2 linked regions of the Sus scrofa genome follow. The protein of the gene in region 1 purifies or fractionates together with the protein of each later gene. This does not show direct contact. Links are inferred from orthologs where the notes say so. Each region holds a gene or a part of one and is shown in the gene's direction. Other genes may lie near its edges. The genes, in order: SLC34A2 and ENDOD1.

Region 1 (3,814 bases):
TGCTATAACACACAAGTCCTTCCACATTATTTGCTGGTCTCCATTAAGCCAGGCTTGCACCTGCAGCAGGAGAGCAGAGGGATACGAGGGAGCTTGAAAACTAGGGTCCACAGAAGGGCTTCCTGGAATCTGTGAATTCCCTAAATTATAAACTGGAATTTTTTTTTTGTATGTGTCCATATTTCTATAATGAGCTTTCCAAGCTTTTGTCAGATTCACAGTGAGGTGCAGACCCTAAAGAGGTCAAGAATTGATGCTTTAGGGAGTTCCCAAAACTGTTCTCAGCAGTTAACAAATGACTAGCATCCATGAGGACACAGGTTCCATCCCTGGCCTCGCTCAGTGGGTTAAGGAGCTGGTGTTGCCCTGAGCTGTGGTGCAGGTTGAAGACGTGGTTCGGATCCCACGTGGCTGTGGTTGTGGTGTAGACTGGCAGCTGTAGCTGCGACTTGACTCCTAGCCTGGGAACCTCCATGTGCTGCTGGGTGCGGCCCTAAAAAAAAAAAAAAAACAAAAACAAAAACAAAAAAAAACAACTGATGCTTTAGTGGATTACCAGCCCGAAAGATGTCAGCTTGCCTTGGGCCACATCGGAAACATGGCCAAGTGACCTTCCTAAACTTGCTAACTCGCTTAGCCTTTTCTCCCTCCAGTGCTGACCGTGCGCTCTGCAATCCCCATCATCATGGGAGCCAACATCGGAACCTCCATCACCAACACCCTCGTGGCTCTCTTGCAGGCAGGAGACCGGAATGAGTTCAGAAGGTAGGAGGCTCACGTGAAGCCTTAGCCACCACCAGGCCCATCGGTGTCAAGACCACATTGTCCTAACTGCCGTTAAGTGGCCAATGGGAGCTGGGTCGCTGTCCCTAGACTTGTGAGATGAAGCCATGGTGGGTACAGCTGGGGACTGAGATCACATTTTGACCCGTGGATTAAATAAGCTCCCCAACCTGCAGAGCCGGGATAACGTATTTCTCACCCACCACGCTGTCTAAAGGAATGAACACGATCATGAGATAAATTCTTAGCAAGGTGCCCTGCACACTCCGGCTCCCTCCCGAAGCTTGACCTACTGAGTGGTGTAGTTAAAACAAGGCCAGTTTGAATAGTTTCACTTAATCAGAAATCATTATAAGCTCCTAAAAGCTTCCATTTGGGGCCGGTTCAACCCATGCCACTTTTTCTTTGTTCTTCACTCACATGCCAATAAAAAGCAAAAAGGAGCCTTTATTGTGGATGAGTGAGATCTGAAAATGGGACGCAGAGGGGTGAATTCAGGCAAAGAGAACCCTTTTCTTCCAGCATGTTAATGTGAAAACTAAGCACATTTCACAGGCTCACTTCTAACTGGTGCTGGGCTTTTTCCAGAGTTTGTCAAAATAGAGAAGCACTCCCCAACCAAAAAAAAAAAAAAAAGACAAACCAAAACCCAAAAACACTTCTTTGAAAAGATACATGCACTCCGATATTCAGAGCAACATTATTTACAATTGCCAAGTTATGGAAATATCTATCCCCAGAGCAATGGATAAAGAGGATGTGGTACATGTGTTATATGTGCTATATACATATGATCTATACCCAGCCTTAAAGAATGAGATTTTCACCATTTTCAGCAACATGGGTGGACATGCAGGGCATTATGCTAAGTGAAATGAGTCAGACAGAAACAAATACTATGTGATATCACTTATGTGTGGAGACAGAAAAATACCACAAACTAGTGAATAAAACAAAAGAAGCAAAACTCACAGATATGAGCAGTTACCAGTGGAGAGAGGGGAGCAGGAAGGGCCGGATGGGGGAGGGGAGTAAGTGTATAACTACTGGGTGTAAAATGAGCTATAAGGATGTATTACACAATACAGGGAATATAGCCAATATTTTATAATAACTATACGTGGAATACAACCTTTAAAAATCTTTGAAAGTGCTTGTACATAGGAATATAATTGACCTAACACACCCCTGTTTGGGATATTTAAATACAATGCTTTCAGTAACATCTTGGGAAATAGGTATCATTCCATCCAGGTAATTTGTTCCTAGATAGATTTCTAGAACAATAATTACTATCTCAAACAACTATAAGGCTCTTTAAATATTTTGCCAAACTATGAAGAAGTATTTGTATCACTTTGTGTTGGCAGTGTATGAAAATGTCTTAAAAATCCTAAAACTTAATCCATCCTCTCCAGGAAGAAAAAGTTAACATTGTAACGTATTAGTTAATAGGGTAAGTGGAAATTTGTGCTTCCACATAAATAAATTGCAAATTTCTTCTATTACTAGTGAGGTCAAGGGTTTCTCCCCCATGTGTTATTTGCTTCTGTTTGTTCATGTTCTGTGTCCTCTTTGGTTTGGCAGCATATGGAAGTTCCCAGGCTAGGGGTCGAATCAGATCTGCACCTACAGGCCTATGCCACAGTCCCAACAACACTGGATCCAAGCCACGTCTGTGAGCTATGTTGTTGCCACTTATGGCAACGCTGGATCCTTAACCCACTGAGCCATTTTTTATTTTTATTTTATTTTATTATTATTTTTTTGGTCTTCTTTTTTTTTTTTTTTTTTTTTTTTTTGCATTTTCTAGGGCTGCTCCCACAGCATATGGAGGTTCCCAGGCTAGGGGTCTAATAGGATCTGTAGCCGCCAGCCTACCTCAGAGCCATAGCAACTCGGGATCCGAGCTTCGTCTGCAACCTACACCATAGCTCATGGCAACACTGGATCCTTAACCCACTGAGCAAGGCCAGGGATCGAACCCGCAGCCTCATGGTTCCTAGTCGGGATTCCTTAACCACTGCGCCACGACGGGAACTCCAACTGAGCCATTTTTTAAATGAGTTTCTTAAGCTGGAGATAAGACAGAATTCATGGGGCATCTTTGAACCTTCTCAGTTGAAAATTGTGGTATATGTCAGCTTTGTTTCCTGTGGAGGCTGTTTAAATGTTTGAACAAGTCTCAAGATCTTAAAGTTAAGAATTCAGTTATGTAGGAGGCTTTGATGGTTAACGACTGGCCCCCATCTTTCCAAAAGGAGGGTTGGGTTGTCTTCAATATGTGTGGATTCAAAAGTGGTCTTGAAGGTTTTTTTTCAAATAGTGCTCGATGAGCTAATTCTTGCAGCCAGACCACCTCTAGCTCCATTTTTCCCAAGCGGAGCCAACTAAGGACTGTCAGCTTTGGTGGGAGGGACTCTGCCAGACAGTGGAAAACCAGGATCCAGGAACCAGAGCACATGCAGTGGTCTTCGATTCCTTCACGCTTGCTGACCCTCAGCTTCCCCATCTGCCGAATGGGAATATTAAGACCACCCACTTTGGGGATTGCTGTGAGAATGAAAGGATTGTACGCATGTACATACACAGAGAGGTGACACCTGGCAGTTGATACAAGTGACGACTTGCCTAGGTGATTGGTGCCCACTGGCTGGTTGACTGATTTGGCTCGGGGTGGTGTTCCTTCCCTTGCTGCAGGGCTTTTGCAGGGGCCACTGTCCACGACTTCTTCAACTGGCTCTCCGTGTTGGTGCTCTTGCCTCTGGAGGCAGCCACCGGTTACCTGGAGCGCCTGACCAGCACGGTGGTGGAGAGCTTCCACTTCAAGAGTGGAGAGGATGCCCCAGAACTTCTGAAAGTTATCACTGATCCCTTCACGAAGCTCATCGTCCAGGTAACCTGGGTTCCTTCAGAGAAAGGTGCTAACTCCCCCACCCCCGCCCCACATTCCTGCTTAGCCAGGCAGAGATGGAAGAGATGGGTGAGGGTCTGTGAACTGCCCCCTTCGGCTGCCTCTGGAAAAGCCCAG
Region 2 (3,914 bases), on another chromosome or scaffold:
CAATGTCAATTGTAAGCATAAGTATTACTGCATGAAGCTTGTTTCTCATTGTGGATCCCGTCAAAAACAATAGACAGCTTCCAGCCTATGACAGCCTGAATGATTCTCTGCCTCCTTCTTTAGCCCCTTTTCTCACAATCCCTTCCCCCAGTTCTCTGTTGTACACACACCCACCTTCCTTAAATTCCTCCAACACATCCTGTACCCTCCTGCTGGGAGACCCCTCGGCACAGGTTGCTTTCCTCTTTGCCTAGATCATGTCATCCTCTTGGTCTCAATTCAGATGCCACTTTTGCAGGCCAGCTTTCCCAGACCATGCCCTGAATCCCTGGAGGGGCAGGTTTCACAGCTCCATGTTAGTGTTTCATTATTCCTTTAATAGCCTGCTTCTTTGATTAACTACAAGCTTTCCCACTAGGCTTAGTCTTTAGACCACAGGGACCCTATTCTTGTTTACCATGGTACTCAGCTGCCTAATCCAGGTTGACACAGAGGTAATGAAGTAATGAATCAACAAAGGTACCAACCCAGGGATGTTCGCTTGTCGTGTTTCTTTCTTGGTTTTGGTTATATTTTATTTATTTATGTACGTATGTATGTACGTATGTATGTATGTATGTATGTCTCTTTAGGGCCACACCTGAAGCATATGGAGGTTCCCAGGATAGGGGTTGAATCCAAGCAGTAGCTGCCCGCCTACCACAACCACAGCAACTGCCAGATCTGAGCCGCCTCTGCGACCAAAACCACAGCTCTCTCGCTAGGACGGTTCCTTAACCCACTGAGCCAGGCCAGGGATCGAACCTGGGTACTCATGGATGCTAGTCAGATTCGTTGCCGCTAAGCCACGATGGGAACTCCGGTTTGGGTTTTAATACTAACCTTCGCACCAAGTAAACCACAGATAGGCTGTACTATCTGCCTAGGTTAGGAATTTCCTGTAACAGGATTTCTTGGATCTCCTGGCTTCAGATGTGCTAAAGCTACATCAAAATTGTGTTCTTATGCCGGCGAATGAGCGTTTTGTCGGGGACCGGGAGACTGCTTTTCACCGGATTTCACAGGAGGTCCCCGCCCATCCGCTCCAAAGAGCCACAGTTCTGTGGTCCTCTCAAGCCGCCCCTTAGCATCCCTGAGTGTCCCTGGGGCGCGCTAGCTCAGGAGGCTATTAGGCTCCCTGCCCCGGGGACCGTCCCTTCCCGTTCCCTTTGAGTAAGCCGACTCAGTTCAGACCTTTCAGCCTCGGGAGGACCGCCCGTTTCCGAGCCTGCGAGCGCGGACCAGGGGCGCAAGGCCGGGTGCAGCCCAGGGGATCTGGTCCGCAGCCGGGTGCCGGAGCCCTGGCCTGCGCGGCCATCTTCAGGAAGGAGGGTGCAAAGGAGGCGCGGCCTCCGGGAGCGGACCGCCCCCGCCGCCGGGGCCGCCCAGCCCGGCCCGCCCAGCGCCGCGCCCGGCTTCCGATTTCCCCGCCGCTCGGCTCGGCGGCCTCGCGCGCTCCCGGTCCGGCCGGCAGACGCGCCATGGGCCCCGCGCGCTGGTTGGCGCTGGGCGGCCTCCTCGCCCTGGCCGGGCTGCTGGAGGGCCGGCTCGTGCGCAAGGAGGAAGCCGGCTTCGGCGAATGCAACCGCTTCTTCTACGCCGGGACCCCGCCCGCGGGGCTGGCGGCCGCTGCCCACGTGAAGATCTGTCAGCGATCCGAGGGCGCCGAGCGCTTCGCCACCTTGTACAGCACCGGGGACCGCATCCCCGTGTACTCGGCGTTCCGCGCCGCGCATCCCGCGCCGCTGGGCGCAGAGCAGCGCTGGCTGGTGGAGCCGCAGGTAAGCGAGGCGCTTCCCGAGCCCGGCCGCTGGGCTGGCCTCCCCGGGGCGCTCTGTGGCCACTGCTAGCGGTAGGGTGGGGAAGGGCAGAAGGGCAGCCCCAGCCCTCGGTGCCAGGTCGGGAAACCGGGTTTCCGATCCGCCCCACCGCGCCCCCGAGTTGCAGCCTGCCTCGCCCTGCGTCAAAGCCACAGCCAGAGCTCGGTGCTGTGCGAGACTTCGCTTAAGTTCCAGGGGTCCGAGGTCCCCAGTGGGAAGGGGTTCTCCCTGCACTTCAGTGTGGACACCTGCAGTGTCTCATTCGTTTCCTGAATCGAGAGGAATATGAGACCGAGACTCAGGAAACCATTCGGATCTTCGGAAAGCCTAGGCTGGGAGCTCAGAGACCTTGGTGCAAGTCGCTGCCGCAATTCTGTGGGAGTGGGTGGGTGGCTGGGCATTTTCATGCCCAGTTTACAGAAGAGGAGATCAAGGCTCAGGGCGGGTGAAGAGACTTGCAGAGAGATGGGCAGGTCTTTTGGCTAGAAGTTCACTGCCTTTCCTAGTAGGAAAACGCTGCCCTTCTGCACAGGCCACCTGAGCCTGAAAAACCTTTCCTTCTGCATGGGACATTGAGTAAATTCGATCTGAAGTTGTGTTGAGTTAGGACAATGGAATGAAGGTGCAGATTTTTAGAAATGCAATGGGATAGTTACAAATAGCAGGGAAACATTGACTACCTCCAACTAAGAGGAAAGACAAACCAGTTTTTCCTGACTCTTCCTATCCACATTATCTGACCACTTAGAAACCGGGTCATGCCTCAGCGTTTTTACTTCTGTCTGGTGAGAGTGACCAAATATTCCAAGAGGCCCCCAGAGACCCTACTGAACCTGTCTTAACACCTCTTGTCACATGTCTACCTCCAGAGACAAGCCTCTTCTCTAGAACACCCAGCCAGGCTGGCTTGCCCCCTAGCTGGGGAAGGAGCTGACTACTCAGTTCACCCGTTCTTGATGGCCATGGCTGCCCAGGGCCGCACCATGAATAGGGGACCAGCTTCCAGCTGTTTCATTCAGAGCCCTGGGTTGTAATTTCTGTCATCACATTCAGTTATCCCTAGCTCAAGGACCTTGACCAGAACTCAAGCCATCTGCACCTGTCTTCGTACCATCTCCACATCCTGTTGCGGTCAGGACCTATAAGGTCGGGTGTAAACTGTGCACACTTAAGGCATATATTAATCTAAAGTTAGTTTGTGCCCGACTCTACCCCTTGAGCTCGAGTTAAATCTAGAAGTACCCCAGCTAGTGGGTACCCGCTGTGTGCCAGGCAATTGGGGTGCTGGAGACAGAGTGTCGTTCTGGGACTCAGAGCCCCCCTGGTCTGCTGGGTGGAAAGGGGGCATCACCTCTGATCAGGGCCACACAGCGTGTGGAATCAGGCCTTAGTTCTTCCATGGACTCACTGTAAATGTGGGCAGGTCAACTTAGAGGTCATAATGGGAATTTTGAGGATTAAGTGAGTTCCTCTATATAAAGTGCTCTCAGGCGTGCCTGGCACATAAGTCCTAGCTGTTATTGTGACATGAGCAAAACACCCTCAGGTTAAAAATGTAAAAAAAGTCCTATGAGATTTCATCTGTCTTGGAGGTGACAGGGGTAAGGCTTCAGGTCAGAGTGACATTTGTGCTGTGCCTAGAAGATGAGGCATGGTGCAGGGAGGAGACAAGGAAGAGGACACCCCCAGCAGAGGGGACATGCTGAGTGAGCACTACGGGGCCGACTCAAGGATTAGTGTGTAGGGAGTGGTTGGAGCAGCTCAACCAGTGCAAGGGAGTAGATGATGGGCTACTCAGAAGATCAGAATTGAGAGGAGTCTTGGAAGGGAGGCGGCAATGTGGAGGAGTGGTCCAGCAGGGCTTGGGGGCATCGGGGCTGACCCCTATATGCAGTTATTGAAGGAGCCCGAAGGAGCATGGCTCATTCTGCAGAGGGGAAGTGGACAGAACCGTCCTGTAGGCAGTGGAGATCCTGGGCCCCAGGGGATGGGGAATGGCACTGGGGAGCTAAAAGAGGGTGGGGAAGGAGCAAGGGGAAGACTTCCGAATGGCAG

What was found.
Region 2: the proteins of SLC34A2 (region 1) and ENDOD1 purify together in Homo sapiens (co-immunoprecipitation; 3 studies listed by BioGRID and IntAct, counting the BioPlex papers as one, with this or other methods). This does not show direct contact. The link is inferred for Sus scrofa from reciprocal best matches to the Homo sapiens genes SLC34A2 and ENDOD1.

What each region holds. Positions count from the first base shown.
Region 1 is NC_010450.4:19,497,917-19,501,730, forward strand, and holds part of SLC34A2 (sodium-dependent phosphate transport protein 2B), read left to right. Parts: intron 1-653; coding exon 654-765; intron 766-3,483; coding exon 3,484-3,679; intron 3,680-3,814. UniProt on the Homo sapiens protein: Involved in actively transporting phosphate into cells via Na(+) cotransport.
Region 2 is NC_010451.4:27,132,588-27,136,501, forward strand, and holds the start of ENDOD1 (endonuclease domain-containing 1 protein), read left to right. Parts: upstream 1-1,451; 5' UTR 1,452-1,520; coding exon 1,521-1,820; intron 1,821-3,914. UniProt on the Homo sapiens protein: May act as a DNase and a RNase. Plays a role in the modulation of innate immune signaling through the cGAS-STING pathway by interacting with RNF26.